Arabidopsis thaliana: one gene and its partners. The protein of the gene in region 3 interacts with the protein of the main gene of each other region in a biochemical or structural test. Each region holds a gene or a part of one and is shown on either strand. Other genes may lie near its edges.

Region 1 (5,168 bases), 9.2 Mb from region 3:
TCCAAACCGAGTTAAAAATGAATGTATTGAGTATTGACTATGTATAAACAGTATTAAATCTTTTAATATTTGAATGTTAGATTCCTAATATGTGGAAATTAGTCTTTATAACTTTCAAAATCTTACGTACTAAAAATGAGGTCATTTAACAGTAGTTTCTTCCATTTGCGACATTGTTATCATACTTATATGATTTGTTTTCTTTCTTACTTTGTTTTGGAAGCAACCAAGCAACCTTCGTAAATGAAATCGTCGAGAAGGTTAAGGCAATGCTTGACAACGTTTCCTCATCACACGTACGTAATCCTATTAAATCAAAAATTATGTAGTTCTAGAATTAGAGAAATTGAAATATTGCCAATGACAAAGAAAAAAAAAAGGTGTGTACAAAAGAACATACTGTATGTTAATTATATATATATAATTATTGTATAAATCTAGTGGCTAATCATTGTAAAATCTCTAGATTACGCCGCAACATCAAGTTTACATAAGTTTTCGGAGTCGAGAGATCCGCAACAAGTTCTCCAGCCTTCTTAGAGCCGCGTTACGAAGGAGTGGGATCAACGTCCTTCTAGATGATGAAAATATCACTCGAATAGAGTCAAGAGACGAAGTTGATAGACTTTTTTGTCGAGTTTCGAGAGTGAAGGATCGAACTAGTGTTCATTACCAAAATTTGCAAGAGCTCGACGTAGTGCTTGAAGAAACTGCTGGAGATGAATAAACACATCGAGTTTTTCCCATTTTCTACGAGTACAATCCAAGTGACATGATACAAGTCTAAACAAAGATAGCTTTTTAATTTAATTTCTTGAGTTACAAGATAACAACATGATATGTAGAAGAAACAGAACACTATCTAAGACATCCTGATAATAAGAATGGACATAACTACTAAAGATATGTCTTGGGTTACAAGGATCCTTATAGAACAATTTCTTGAGTTGCAAGACAGCTTTTTTAACTAGTGAAATAGCTTAAACAACGATCAACATGAGATGAAGGAGAAACAGAGCTTAAACACTACTAATTTGTTTTGCTCAATGTCAGAGTATAAAACTTGCTTTCCCCTTCTTAAATAATGTTTTAAATGCTCGGCAGAGGATTGAACTTCACAGATTCGAGCCACACAAGCTCCTTTATCTCTTCTTCAGTGGAAGACGGATCCTCAAAATGGAAACTGAAATGGTTGGAACAAACAGGCTCGTCGTTAAGGTCGTGAAGAGCTGACAAGTAAGGATAACACAGTGCTTCCTCAACTGCAAAACAAAGAGTATGATCAAGGATTCATCACCCATATGCCAATCTCGCTATGTACAATTTTTCTCATCATACCCGTGATACGTTTTACTGGATCAAACACGAGCATTTTCTCTAGTAGATCGATAGCTGTAGAATTCATACTAGGAAACCTAGCTGAAAAGTTTTGTCTTGGGAACTTAGGTAGCTCCTTAACATATTTTCTCGCGTTCGCGCTTCTGAGAAACTCTAGACTCGCTCCATCAGGTGATCCTATCAACTACTCAACCACATGAAACAACTCATAAACACATTGCAACACACAAATAAAAGTTTCCAACATTTGTACAGATCTTTCTAAAACAGAACATCATACCTCAGTGATAAGTTTAAGCTGATGAACGTAATCCTTCCCCGGGAAAAGCGGTTCCCTTGTCATAATCTCAGCAAATATGCAACCAACAGACCATACATCAATAGCAGATGTATACTCAGAACTATTAAGAAGCAGCTCTGGTGCTCTGTACCATCGTGTTACAACATACTCTGTCATATACTCTGTTTCTGATGTAGTCCTTGCCAAACCAAAGTCAGTAATCTTAAGATCGCAATTCGAATTCAAAAGCAAATTACTCGGCTTAAGGTCACGATGTAAAACATTTGCTGAATGAATATATTTGAGTCCTCGTAGAATCTGATACAAGAAGTACTGCAAAAGAAGAAAAAGTGAATCACTTGTGATTAAATCAACCATAGTATCAAATATAGCAGAGTAAAAACCGTACCTGACAATGATCATCATTCAAAGATTGGTTTGATCGAATAATCTGATGAAGATCAGTATCCATTAACTCAAAAACTATATAAACATCAACGAAATCTTCCTTCTTTGGTGGTCTAATGATATCTTTTATAACAACAACCTGTACAAGTCAAGACCACATTAGCTAGAAACTCTAATCGTTTACCGCGAAAATAGAGTACAAAACTTACGTTCTCGTGTTCTAAATGACGAAGTAGCTTAATCTCTCTCAATGTTCTCTTTGCATCTACTTTATTATCAAAGGCTTTACCTATCTTCTTTATCGCAATCTCTTCGTGTGTCTCCGAATCTACTGCAGCACTATAACAATAAACCAATACTCTCATGAATCATTTTGCTTATACATAAACACAAACACAAACAAATCATCAAATTCATTCAATTTAAACTATGATTTTGAAGACAGAACCTTTCTTAAATCCAAAAAAGATCAAATTTTGCAAGCAACCCTAATTCAAAAACCTATACCAATACTTAGTTCTTTATCTAATTAGGGTTACAAATACTAAGTAAGAAACAAGAATATGAAATACACAAAAGGGTAGAAGTTGTACCAGACAAAACCGTAAGCTCCTCTACCAATAGGTCGAATAGGAGGAACATACTTATTAGAAACTTCAAACAAGTTTCCATAAACATTGTATTGAAAATATCTTCCTCCATGAACAAGAACTCCTTTGATGTTAGTATCACCTAAATCTGTCGCTGATTCAATTTCCTTCGCCATTTTTTTCAAATATCGAGATAATACAGAAGAAACCCAGAAAATCAAACTTTGAATACAAGATTTTTGGAGATGAGATCGATTCGATTCGTCTCTGCAAAATTAAAATAATGATTTTGTTGAATGTTGAAAACTTTGAAAATCTAAGGAGATAGAGAGAGACGCGTCAGAGGACAACGACTCTTTTTCATTAGTTTGAATATTTTGAATAGGTCAAAACGTATCGTCACATGTCCATCAGCCACGTGTACTTTGTAATAAATACAGATGGGTAAACGTTTGGGCCTGGCCCATCTATTTAATATAGAGAGAGGTATGCTATCAGCTCTGGTCTATGTTATGAGGCCCACGTAATATGAAAGTAAGAGACCTTTTCCTTTTCACCTATCAATACACATCTCTCACTAAAGGAATTCTTCGCAACAGATACTGAGATACAATACAAGTTGGAGTTTAATCTCTCCTCTTCTACTTGATGATTCTCATCCAAAACTACATACTTTCATTCTAAGGTATGTATTCCATATAATCAATTCATACTTTGTGGTGCGAGCGTAATGGTAGACGTCATGGTAACTCTTCTGTTCCTTCGGCCAAGCTTGCAAGTATTATCGACAAGAACGTTAGAAACCGCTCCATCAGCACAATTTGGATCTCGGGAAACTCGGTTTATGAAGAGGGCCTCCACTATTGGTTCCACACCCGTATTCCATAGATTCCTTCAAATGTTATAGTCTCTTCGTTTTCAAACTTTCAACTCAAAGTCACATTCATTATACAATTTTTTTTGGTGAATATCATATTATTCACTTAATATATCAGTAACATCTTATATGTACATATAACAGTTGACATATTAAACCAATATCGAATAGAATGTTATCTTTTACTTAATATATTAATTTATACTATTCACCAAATTGTCATTAAAATTACGTTTTGAACTCTGGAATATCGCGAGTTTACCAATTTACTCATAATCTTCAACTTTTCTATATAAAAAAAAGAAAATTAATATGGATCATATTATACGAGGTTTCTTTTGATAACTTAATCTTTTGAGTCAAATTTACGCAGAACCTAAATATAATTAACTTGTGATGCTCAAACTACAACCCTTAAAATACCCTAAATTGTTCAATATTTTCCTCGTAAAATACCCCATATCTAACTCAAATCACTCGCACTTACACATCAAATATGACTAGGCCGACACAATATAATATATATCCAATAATTACATGTTATTTAATTGGTACGACAATCTCCGACAACGATACCATTACCAATACCAATCTCTTTTAGCCATATTCATGCTAAAAGTGTAGTGGCAGATCCAATTCACTTTTATTATTGATCTTCTCCACTGATTGGCTTAATTTGATGTGGCATTCAATTAGATTAATTAGATCTCCAACATTATCCATGCTTTATAACTCATGACTCACGTGACTGTTTTTTTTCCCTCAAGTTTTGTTTCGTTTATCTTCACAATATTTTTAGATATCCTAAATTGAAAACATAATAGACATGATTGTTGAATTATGTAGGTAAATCTCTCAGTTAGAAATACTGGGTTTGAGGCATGTTGGAAGAGATTTCTTTCCCAAAGGATATGAATTTAATCTGGTGTGGATCCCGCCTCTAGAAAATGTAAGGTCTTTGAGTTTGAATTTCCAGATATTCAAAAAAAATAAAAAAACAAAAAGACAACAACTCTAAGCATAATAATTTACTCAAGTTGATATGTGGTGAACTATTCAATGTGAAACGTTTGCGCTCTATTATTGGTATGCTGTATTATTAGTGTGACGGTATGACACAACGGAACTTCCAATATATATGTTGTACAATTCTAAATTGGATTTTACCGGGGGAAAATATCTTGATCAAGTACGAAATATGAGTGGCTTGAGTGTATTGTATATTTGTATGTATATGGATACTAATAAATAATCTTTGTTCCGTGGGAAAAGATTGTGTAATTTTTGGTTCATAGTAACAAGATTAAGAAATTTAAATCGGAAATTAGTAGGTTTAAATTTAACATGTTCTTTTGGTCGCAAAGGTAAGAATTGACGTAAGAGAATTTAAAAAACAAGGACGTAAGAATTAGATTTTCGTGTTTTGATTTCATTATTGTTGTTTTTAAAGTTAGTCACACAATCACACGAGACTACGTCTGGTTGTGGTCGATCGAAGTATCGAATCGTGAGACTTCTATTAAGATATAGTTATTTTGAAAAATATGAATGTTATATATATTATTGATAAATAAAGTGAAATTTCCGATCGCTTGAATCAATGACAACAGTCACAGGCTGGTTCTCATACTATCACTCATAACATTCTTGGTATTATATGCTACTTACAATTTAT
Region 2 (4,915 bases), on a different chromosome or scaffold from region 3:
ATTTTTAAAATTCAAATCATATTAGATACACAAAAAAAATCTGTTTTTTTAATAGTATTATTAATTTAACCAATTAATATTGTTAACATAATATAGTAAACAATATTAAAAAGGGTGAACATATTTTAATCATATTTCTCTTTTCTCTTCTCAACATAACTTAAACTTTTATTGTTCCTTAAAAGACCACGTCAGCATAATTCACTACACTTCTGTTTTCTTCACGCGCCTTAAACATGAATGAAAGAGTTGGGTGAAGGAGTGTGTGGTGAAAGAGTGTGTTGTCATTACACACACCTCATGTGTTACTCTCTGAATTCGGCAACTTATGGTGCTAGATATTTAATTTCTTTTCAGGAATTGGTTATTTAGCTAATTCACCTTTGAAATAAATACACTTATAAAATAAAGTATTTTTAAAACACACTAGTCTTCATATTGGAACTGAAAAAAATAGCACACTTCCTTAGATCATTATTTATAAGATTACTAATATATTCTGAAATTGTTTTGGTAGTACTAAAAAGAACGAAAAATATGAAGTGACACATTATCCAATCTTCCCTTATAATGAATTGAAAACATGTTTGGCGGCTTTTTAAAGGTAGGATAAAAACTAGAGAAAATAACATCTATACTTTTATTAGTTTATACTTTATAGTATGAGAGTATCTAAACTATAAAAAATTATTTCGTGTGGCTAGCAAGTGGGCAATGGCAAAGCTATACAAAATACAAGAGTTGGCCTGAAAATCAGTAGTAAAACTCATCAACTCAAAGATAATGTAACAAAAACAAGCCTTAACTTACTTAGTAACAAACAGTCACATTTACAAAGTGGTAAAGATACTGAGAGCCACTTTTCAAACTCTGTTACTACTACTCACTCACTGCAACTAAATCAAACCAGACGAGATCAAAGCACCGGGCTTTTTATCGATCTGTTCCCGCGTTTGTGGACTCGCTATATATAACATAACATCAAAGCTGCATTTTAGAAAGCAAAAAAAAAAAAAACTGGAAAAAGCTTACTCTTAATGATCATTGATGTTGATTTAGGCATTTGAGATTTCAGCTTCAGGGTGGTAATAAAGCATCTCATTCCACATCATCTCTCTTATCACTGGTTCCTCCATGTTTTCATCTATGTCCAGAGAGATTGGGACATGTGCAGGCGGATTGGATCCAGGATCAAACAACCCCGCCATATACGGGTGTAAGAGCGCATCGGTTACAGAGATTCTCTTGGTTGGATCAAACACAAGCATCCTCTGTAACAAATCTATAGCTAGAGGATTGGCTTGTGGATAAAGATTGGAGAGATGAGTTCCTCTTGAGTACGGAAGAGACTTTATAAACCTTCGAGCTTTCGGGTTGTCTATGAACCGAATATCAGATTCTTGTTGGCTACCAACAACGTTGATGATTAGCTTAAGCTGATTCAAGCATTCTGTTCCTGGAAAAATCGGTTTCCTACCAAGAATCTCCGCGAATATGCAACCAACCGACCATACATCAATGGAGGTTCCATAGTTATCACAACAAAGAAGAAGCTCAGGTGCTCTGTACCAACGTGTAACCACATACTCAGTCATGAACTGTTCATTACCTTGGCTCGTTCTCGCCAACCCGAAATCACAAATCTTGAGATCGCAGTTCGCATTAACTAAGAGGTTCCCGGGCTTCAAATCCCGGTGAAGTATGTTTGCAGAATGAAGATACTTCAACCCTCTAAGCAACTAAACACAACAACAAGAACAAGACTTATTTCAATAACTAAACATACAAAACTCGAAACATAGAGTTACCGAGGAAGGACTTAAAGTTACCTGAAACAAGAAGTACTTGCAGTGATCATCAGAAAGAGACTGAGAGGATTTAATAATCTGATGAAGATCAGTATCCATTAGCTCATAAACCAAATAAACATCCTTGAAACTGGATCTATTAGCAGGCAACATAACATCTTTAAGCGCGATCACATTCTCATGCCTCACATGCCTAAGAAGTTTAAGTTCCCTCAACGTTCTCAAAGCATCAACACGATTCTCAAACACATTGTGAATCTTTTTAATAGCAACTCTCTCATTAGTCTCACGATTGATAGAAGAACAAACCACACCATAAGCTCCTCTTCCAATGGGTTTAATCGGAACATACTTTGTATCGATTTCGAACAATGTTTGCCACATGGAGTAGTAATGTTTCCCTTGTTGCTTAATCCCATTTGGTGGCTCAACTAACATCGCCATTTTCTCTCTGCAAAAACCAAAACTTTCAGTATTTTTCCCCTAAATTGGTAAGATTTTGGAAAAGGGTTTATAGAGAATTTTCGATTTATGAATCATTGAAGCTTTTTTCTCCTTTACGTCTCCAAAAAGTGAAATTCAACTAAGAAAAATTCTCTTTTTAATATCGTTTCCTTTACTTAGCTATCAATCTTACTACTCCATAAGAAAAAAGCAAACTTTGGTTATAAAAATTCTCTTTTTAATATGATAACTCTTGATTAATCATAATCAAAACTCAAAAATTAAGAGTTAAAACAAGCTAAATGAATAAAGAGAAGAAACAGAACAAGAGATCGAACATACCCAATAACTGAATTTACAGAACCCGAGTCGTTGTTGTTGTTGTTAATGATCAGAGATGAAAGAAGAGAAGGGTATGATTGGATCTGAATTGAGATTGCTTCTTCATAGCTAAAACAAGAAGAGATAAGAGAGAGAAGAGTTAGGAAGTGGTGAGACCCATACGGGGAATGGAATGTTAGGGGAAGAGGAAGAAGAAGAAGAAGAAAGGAAGCAAAATACGTTGGTTGATGAAGAAGCTTTGGTTACTTCTTTTCGTTTTTTAGGAAAAAAACAAATTACAAAGTCTTCTAATTACGAAAACGACATTCTTTTTAGATTAGATATTTTTTGTGTAACAAAACTTCAGTTACAAACTATCTTTAATTAAAAAATCTCTAAAGTTTAATGGACTCTTCATGTTTTTTTTTTGCATACAAATCAGGATTGTTATTACTATATTTGGTAATTAGAAAAAAATAATGCATAGGAATTTTTGTAATTAATTAAAAAGATTGAGTAAGATATTTATTAAGTAGAATTTGTCTTGGTATAATATACGTACACGAATACAGAAATTGAGGATTTAAATGGATCAAGTAACCGGCTAAGCACGTGGGTGGACTGAAAAAGTGACACGTGGTAAACGTAGATTGGGAGCAACTTCTTGTTGTTGTCCGAACCGAAGTTTCCACTGGGTGTAGTTAAACCTAACTTAAAAGCCTCAAAAAGTGGTCAACTACAAAACCACTCTTGGTTTGAAGACCTTCTGTCTCTTTCGGAGAGGTTTGAGGATTAGATTAAAAAAAGGATAAGTGTGGCTGATGGATTTAACATCAGATGATGACATAACTAATTTGAGTGGCAAATGGTTGAGTAAACCTATCAGTTGACGAACGCAGATTATCAATCAACTTTGAGTTTCTCCATAGATCTTCGAAGATTCTGTCTCTCCAAACCATCAAGCCCCAATTCATCTTCAACCCTAGTAATTTAGTTTATATAAAGTGTACTTGAATTTTATACGTTGATGTTAAAAATGTTTGCACACTAATCTTTTGTACAAAACTACTTTACAAAATATATTTCTTATAAATTCATTGTTTTCTTTTGTACAAATCAAACATGATCTCGCATATGATGCGGATAAGTGGTAACATCTAAGGATGATATATATATACAGAGACATAACAAAATTCTTTCTTTGGAGATTCTCTTAATTTTAATGTGACTGTAAGATTTAAGTTAATGACATGAGTGCATTGGCCACCTCTAACTCCACTAGAGGCTTCTTCTTCCTCATGTTCCTCACTTACCAAGTGAACTGCACATGGAGATAAAAAGTAAAACAGAACACCATTTTAAACACCAAAACAAAAATTAGTTAAGTAGGCATTGATTTGAAAGCGGACCAGCTTCTTCTTCTTCTTCTTTCTCTCAACGTATGCCACAAGGTCCTCTTGTCGGGTAAGAGAATCATCAAGAGCCTGTGAAGATACAACAACTCTTTAGTGTGAGATAGTGAAAGCTGAGAACAAATCAGTAATATATATGAAAGTTTTTTTTGTTTTGTGTTACCTTCTTGGTTGCAGCAAGTTCTTGTTCCAAGAAATCGGCTCGGCTAATGGCAGCATTAAGCATCTCTTCCTTTTCAGGAGGCATAGTTGCTGGCTGTGCACTCAAGTTTGTGACTTTCTGCTCAAGCTCAGCCATTCGTTTCATGACCGCCATGAAATCTTCCCCTGAGATGGTTGTTGTTGCCATTTTCTTCCCATGCATCGAGCTCTTGTTCATCGAGTTTTCGTCGCAGTAAACCGGGCTAGAGTATATAGTTGACTCGGTTAGCTTCCTTGGAACGTTTTTAGTCACTCTAATCATGGTGACTACACCCATTACAAAAGCCATGACTCCAGTGAAAATAGGAGACCTTCCACTTTCATTTGTAGCTTTGCAAGCTTCTTGAATGGCGTAAACATCCCCTGTTCAAAAACAGAGAAGTACTTAAATTCAAGTTCTTTTAAAAAGGAGTAGTATTTGTCTCTTTAGTAGTGTAATTTGCACATGATCTCTTATACTTTTTGAGAGGGAAAATTTGTGAGCTTCTGGTATGTTCCAAGCTGGATGAGCAACCACGACCTGAGATGTGGGAAGAAATATAAGGAGAATACAAGCCTCATGAAGGAAAATAGTGTCATTCTTACATTTTGACAAGGAGAGGGCTGTGACTGGTCAGTTTCAGGAGCTTCCTCAACTGCAGAGTTATTCCCCTGAGAGATAATATTCTCTCCAGCATTATCAGCTTGAGATCTCTTTGAGCATATGTGGTCACCATTATTAACTCTCTG
Region 3 (6,094 bases):
CAGTCCCGACAAGTTAGCTCCACAGACCTGGGCTTTTGCCACGTGGACGTTGTCGGAACCGATCATGAATAAAGCTATTGCTAGAATAACCAATGTCCTTATCATGCCACTTCCCATCTCGTTTTATTTCTTTCTGTGAATAGTTCGTTAATTTGTAATGAAATCTATGAATGCGAATATTTGGTCCGACGAGAGATTTGTATATATAGCATAACGTTAATACTATGCTTAGTATTGTAACAATTTTTCTTGTTACTTTTGTAGTGGGAAGCAACAAGGCGAGGGAGTCTATATTATTTGTTATCTTTTGTTGGTGGGAATGTTTCGTGGCAGTTTTTGAATGAGGTTTAACTTTTTTAGTGGAGTGGTTGAAAAATAGTTTAGTGACTCATTTTTGATGAAATTCATTTTGTCTCCGAATGAACGTCGTTAATTAAAAGATGTCATTTTAAAGATTGTTAAATTTGGTGACATCAATTTTCGATCGCTAATCTACTGCTAAGTTTGTGAATGATTATTAGTGCATTTTCTTTTTACATGAACTTTCTTACCTTATGTGATGTTATTCGATGATCTCTGCATAATATGATTATTGTAGCATATGGTACCAAAACGAATATATTAAATAACATTTTTAACTAGCTATGGGAGATACCCTTATCAAATAAACAACTATGCATCCGATGCTTGTGAAAAGTCGAATATTTTTTGTGATTTAAGACATTCCGAATAACATGAAAAATATCGTAAAAAAACACAGCAACACTTTAGCTGACATACTTGCACTAGGAAAGAGGAGACTTTATTACTCACGGTCTTCGTTTCAATCTAGTAAGCGTTTAAGCAGGTTCACAATGTTACGTAGAAATAAATACATCACTCGCGTGGGAACTAACTGACACATAGACCAGTCAGGCCGTAGAGACATTCGGTCTGGTTTAGTTTGATTAACCGGTTTAGAATCAGCATACATATCTTAAGCTTTCCCGGATTTGCTAAAGGAAACAAGTTGTTTCTCTCTGTGCTTCTGAACAAGTGCTTCCAGATTCTTCGCCTTCTCGTCTCCATCTTTGAAATGTACTCTTCTTCCATGTCCTGATATACAAAACCGCCATCAACATCCAAAATGTCCATTTCAGTAGTAAAGCAGATATATATAGCCAAAGTGCACTAACCCGGTATTAGCCAATTGAAATCCAGGTTGATCAATTTTTCTACGTTCTCGAGCTGGAGAGGCACTGCCAGAGACACAAAAAAAAAACATTTAGATCAATCTTTCTACGTTCTTGAATGAATATTCAAAAACATTAACCCAAAGACATTCAACAGATGAGTCTTTACCTGAACCGTGATTGTACTGCTCTAAAATGCTCAATCCAGATTCGGTCATTATTACATGGTCGCCAGTGAATAATGCCTTGAGGGACTTATGGAACATGCACACTGATCCCTGCAAATTGTACGAAGCTCTTATCCCAAGATCATGATGGAATTCTTTTTAACAAAAATTGAACATTTGTTTTTATGTATGTTCTTGCAGTTGGACAAACTTACTTCTGAATGACCAGGAGTGTGTATAAGTTCGACATCTTCATAGATACTCCATGGTCCACTTCCTTCCAGCTTTAACTCCACATCAGAGGTCGAAGGTTCAACCTAACAAAAAAAAAATTCCCTTAATGGTCGATCAGAGATGGGTTTAGTAACAAAATTGTTTGCGTGGCTAGTTTACTTTTTACTTTTATCCAACCTCATAATCTTTTTCTATTTTCTACAGAGCATATAAGCAGCCCAAGGTTCTTGTAACTATGTAAGCAAGCTTTTTCATTTTTCACGAAATCTAGATGTTGAAAAAACCTATCAAGAATGTGCAGAGAGGTGTGAAAAATTCAAGGACATACATCATCAGAATGCAGAATTCTGGTAGACTTGAATCTGTCTGCCCATTTCTTGTGATCTGCAACATCATCCCTGAACAATGAAATCGCTTATCCTGATTAACAGAGATTACAAGAGAAAACACGGATTTTCTCCTTTAGGTGTTATCAATTCTACCTGTGTGTCAAAAACATGTAGCGAACACCACCCTTCATCTCGATCTTTCCAGCAAGTTTCTCCACGTACCTAGGACTGCAGCAAACAGCAAAACCTTGGTTTAATCAGTTGTGTAGAGTTAATAGCCACAACGAAGTATATCAAGAAATACATTGCATCAACAATGTATAAGATACTAAACAACAAAGAAAATAAGAATTCATGATGCCTCCTCCCAAGGGTATATACCTATCAACAAGTATATTTCCCTCACGATGAAGGATCAGGTAAGAAGTTGCTCCATACGATTTCTTGGAATGAAATCCACAATGAAAAACGCCCTGAGCATAATGCAAATCTCAAACTTTATAAACCTCAAGGACAGCAGACAACATATAAGAACAAGGTAGTAAGAGTCCTCAGTGGAGCTAAATCAGTTAAGAACTTAAGGTCATTGTATCTAAATCTATTCAAAACCTACGTATGCTTACAATGATCTAATCAGAGTTAGTTGACTTGTTAATAACCATCCTAAAAAAATGAAAGCTTAAGGGATTAAAAAGTACAGGAAGTGTGTCTTTGTCCACTACAAGTGGAAAGGTCTCTTGAGCTTCCCCTATGTCAGCAGGTGGAGTTTGAGTGCGAATAGAGCCCGTCGGACAAGATAGTAAGGCCTGAAAGAATCAAGAAACCATGAGTAATCAGGACAACCTCAGAAATTTTACTCACTAAAATATTTTTCTTCATAAGAAATTTCTCAGTCTATGACATCCTAGCAGACATTTCCACAAAATTTGTCTATCTGTTTTATAAGGTAACAATAAAAGCTATCAAAGACAAAAAAACAAGGAGATTCAAAAACATCCTCAATGAAATGTCATCAGATATTAAATAGAAAGAAAACTAAAATCGACGTAGTTAAGGCACCTGAAGAGCATTCAGTCTTTCCTCCTTACAAGTTGGTTGCTTTGTAACCGCAGACATGTTGTCCACTCGAGTGAATAAATCCTGTGAAGATAAATCAGAGAAAAGCTGTTTACGAATTGGCTGAAAAAAATGTAAAGGGAAAGTAAAATCCTGCTCTCACAGCTGCATTGGCCTGCTAACAAACAACTATAACATGAACATTCTAACTTCTTGTTCTCATATAATGACTGTGATCAAATCAGATTATATTCTAATGTTAGTATATCCTTCTTCGAGATCAATCCTAAGGCATCAACTTCCCAATACCCAAAATGAAAACCCCCCAACTACTTTACCCTACCAACCAATAGACCCAAAATGCTTAAATCAATTCATCAATTTCAAAGGACCACCAAAAGGGTCCACAAGACAGGGGAAAGAGCAGAAAAATTTAGGAGCTTTACAGATTTCAGAGAAGAAAAGCTTACCGGAACCATCCAACGACATGTATCACAATCAATACAAGTATTGTCTGCAAAAAAATCCATTGAAAGATAGACAGAGAGAGGGCGTTAATGATCTCTCTTTGTTTTCAATTTGCAATAAAAAGTAACCAGACTTTATTTACCAACAAATATATCTCCTTCGACGTTCTGAGTTCGTCTTCTAGGATTCTCATGGCTTGTCACTTGAGCTGCTTTGATAGATCCAAACACTCTCCTTCCTGATAAAGCCGTCGAGCTAAAACAGGAAGCTTTCGATGAAAAGATCGCTTCTTTTGAACGGAATTGATACGAGAGCGAAGAAACCGCAGAGAAAGAAGCTGAAGCCATGAGAATGGTGATTGATCCTCGTCTCTTCTCTTCTCTTTTTGTGAGCTTTGATGAGTGTAGTAACTCATCTTGAACTTCGCCCCTATGAAAATTATTTGACTATTAAAAAATCTATATTTGACTACTTGTGGACCCAGCTAAAATCCGGTTTACATACGGTTAAGCTTGATTAAATCGTTCAATCCTGATTGGACACGTGTAAGCTTCTTCTCATTCGTGCCGGGTCCTGTCCTCCTTTGTAGATCGTCTCTCTCAATCTTTCAAAACGAGAACCCGGTTTTTTAGCGGTTAAGCCTAATTTGGTCTGGTTTGTTTTTCCTTAAACCGTGAGTCTCGAATCCAATCATGATTGGACACGTGTAAGCTTCTTTCTCATTCGTGCCAGGTCCTCTCCAGTGTATGTAGATCAATCTCTCTCTTCCATCTCTCAATCTCTCAAAAACACCAATTCCAATCCTGTTTCCTTGGATCAGAGATACGAATCTGAATCACAATCTCGAGATCTTCAGTGTTTTCCAACGGTGATTGATGTTTCACGTGGAAGAAGAAAGCAGTGGAGGCGATGGGTCTGAGATTGATGAGGAGTTTGGCGGAGACGATTCAACGACGTCATTGTCGCGATGGGTGTTCGATGAGAAAGATGATTATGAGGTTAATGAAGATTACGACGATGATGGATATGATGAGCATAATCACCCGGAAATGGATTCCGATGAGGAGGATGACAATGTGGAGCAGCGTTTGATTCGCACTAGCCCTGCCGTTGACTCTTTCGATGTAGATGCTCTTGAGATTCCTGGAACTCAGAAAAACGAAATCGAGGTTAGCATTTGTGTGTGAATGTTCTTCTTCTTCTTCATGTTGTTTACTTTTCGATCTGATTGAGTTGTTGAACTTGGTAATGTGTTTTTTCAGGACACTGGTATAGGAAAGAAACTCATACTTGCTTTGCAGACACTTGGGGTTGTATTTGGTGATATTGGAACTAGCCCATTGTATACCTTCACTGTCATGTTCAGAAGATCTCCAATTAACGACAAAGAAGATATTATTGGAGCCTTGTCATTGGTTATATACACTTTAATATTGATTCCTCTTGTAAAGTATGTACATTTTGTTCTTTGGGCCAATGACGATGGCGAAGGTATATCTCTTCCTCTTTATATGGTGTAGATTGAAGTTCATTTAAGGTTTAAAGGTTTAAGTTTTGGAAATGAATTGCAGGTGGGACGTTTGCTTTGTATTCGTTGATCTGCCGGCATGCAAATGTTAGCCTTATCCCAAATCAACTTCCATCAGATGCTCGCATATCAGGCTTTGGTTTGAAGGTTCCGTCTCCAGAACTTGAAAGATCATTGATAATTAAAGAAAGACTTGAGGCGTCAATGGCCTTGAAAAAGCTTCTTCTGATTTTAGTTCTTGCCGGCACTGCTATGGTGATTGCTGATGCTGTTGTTACGCCAGCAATGTCAGGTACTTATATGCTGTCAGGCTACATTTTTTGTTCCTATGTCACATATCAAGTATAGAGAAAAAGCATGTGAGCATTATCGTTGCATGAATAATCTGCAGCTAAATTTTACCCTCTTTTTTGGACACAGTAATGTCTGCTATCGGTGGTCTGAAGGTTGGAGTTGGTGTTATAGAACAAGGTAACTAATTCTAGTTGACGTTTATTAGCGCCTATGTATGGTCACGAGCATGATTTCGTCTGGCTTTCAAAACTTGTAATCGTTCCTTGGATATATGTATTCCTTGGACCAGAAAACTTTTTATGGGTCTTTAATGGTTGCATCCTGGGTCCCTTGACTTCAATTAGATTATAGATACAACAAAGAAGAGGGTAAACTCTTCTGCCCCCTGAATAGGGGCTAATGATTGTACAAAGCTTTCAAAAAACATAATCTTATCTTGATGAGTGATTAGTGACTATTTTTTGTGTAAAGTTTCTGACTATGGCTTCATTTGCAGATCAGGTGGTCGTGATATCAGTCAGCTTTCTTGTGATCTTGTTCAGTGTACAAAAATATGGAACCAGCAAATTGGGGCTTGTTTTGGGTCCTGCTTTACTTCTGTGGTTTTTTTGTCTAGCGGGCATTGGAATTTACAACCTCGTAAAATATGACAGCAGCGTTTTTAAAGCGTTCAATCCTGCATATATCTATTTCTTTTTCAAGAGAAACTCTGTAAATGCTTGGTATGCACTTGGGGGTTGCGTTTTATGTGCAACTGGTAAGTTTCATATTCTGGGAAATATTTTAGAAAGCTTAAATACATTGAATGACTTTTTGACTAAATGTCATTGCTCATTTCTATACATG

What was found.
Region 1: of the proteins of AT4G33540 (region 3) and MPK5, one has a biochemical effect on the other in vitro, tested with the Arabidopsis thaliana proteins (one large-scale study listed by BioGRID).
Region 2: of the proteins of AT4G33540 (region 3) and MPK7, one has a biochemical effect on the other in vitro, tested with the Arabidopsis thaliana proteins (one large-scale study listed by BioGRID).

What each region holds. Positions count from the first base shown.
Region 1 is NC_003075.7:6,889,767-6,894,934, reverse strand, and holds MPK5 (MAP kinase 5), read right to left. Parts: upstream 3,010-5,168; 5' UTR 2,793-3,009; coding exon 2,620-2,792; intron 2,366-2,619; coding exon 2,236-2,365; intron 2,166-2,235; coding exon 2,028-2,165; intron 1,952-2,027; coding exon 1,619-1,951; intron 1,523-1,618; coding exon 1,339-1,522; intron 1,263-1,338; coding exon 1,090-1,262; 3' UTR 728-1,089; downstream 1-727. Other genes in the region: AT4G11340 (Disease resistance protein (TIR-NBS-LRR class) family), read left to right, coding at 224-296, 467-727.
Region 2 is NC_003071.7:7,907,123-7,912,037, forward strand, and holds MPK7 (MAP kinase 7), read right to left. Parts: upstream 2,919-4,915; 5' UTR 2,595-2,918; intron 2,260-2,594; 5' UTR 2,253-2,259; coding exon 1,830-2,252; intron 1,740-1,829; coding exon 1,056-1,739; 3' UTR 652-1,055; downstream 1-651. Other genes in the region: AT2G18180 (Sec14p-like phosphatidylinositol transfer family protein), read right to left, coding at 3,932-4,057, 4,149-4,549, 4,646-4,706, 4,772-4,912. UniProt on the Arabidopsis thaliana protein: MKK3-MPK7 module acts as a positive regulator of PR1 gene expression.
Region 3 is NC_003075.7:16,128,561-16,134,654, reverse strand, and holds AT4G33540 (metallo-beta-lactamase family protein), read right to left. Parts: upstream 4,063-6,094; 5' UTR 3,774-4,062; coding exon 3,569-3,773; intron 3,473-3,568; coding exon 3,429-3,472; intron 3,283-3,428; exon of another isoform or gene 3,122-3,282; intron 3,043-3,121; coding exon 2,962-3,042; intron 2,709-2,961; coding exon 2,601-2,708; intron 2,376-2,600; coding exon 2,284-2,375; intron 2,131-2,283; coding exon 2,056-2,130; intron 1,972-2,055; coding exon 1,902-1,971; intron 1,657-1,901; coding exon 1,555-1,656; intron 1,451-1,554; coding exon 1,342-1,450; intron 1,239-1,341; coding exon 1,176-1,238; intron 1,096-1,175; coding exon 977-1,095; 3' UTR 686-976; downstream 1-685. Other genes in the region: AT4G33550 (Bifunctional inhibitor/lipid-transfer protein/seed storage 2S albumin superfamily protein), read right to left, coding at 1-117; KUP5 (K+ uptake permease 5), read left to right, coding at 4,302-4,595, 4,689-4,917, 4,998-5,246, 5,375-5,425, 5,745-6,005.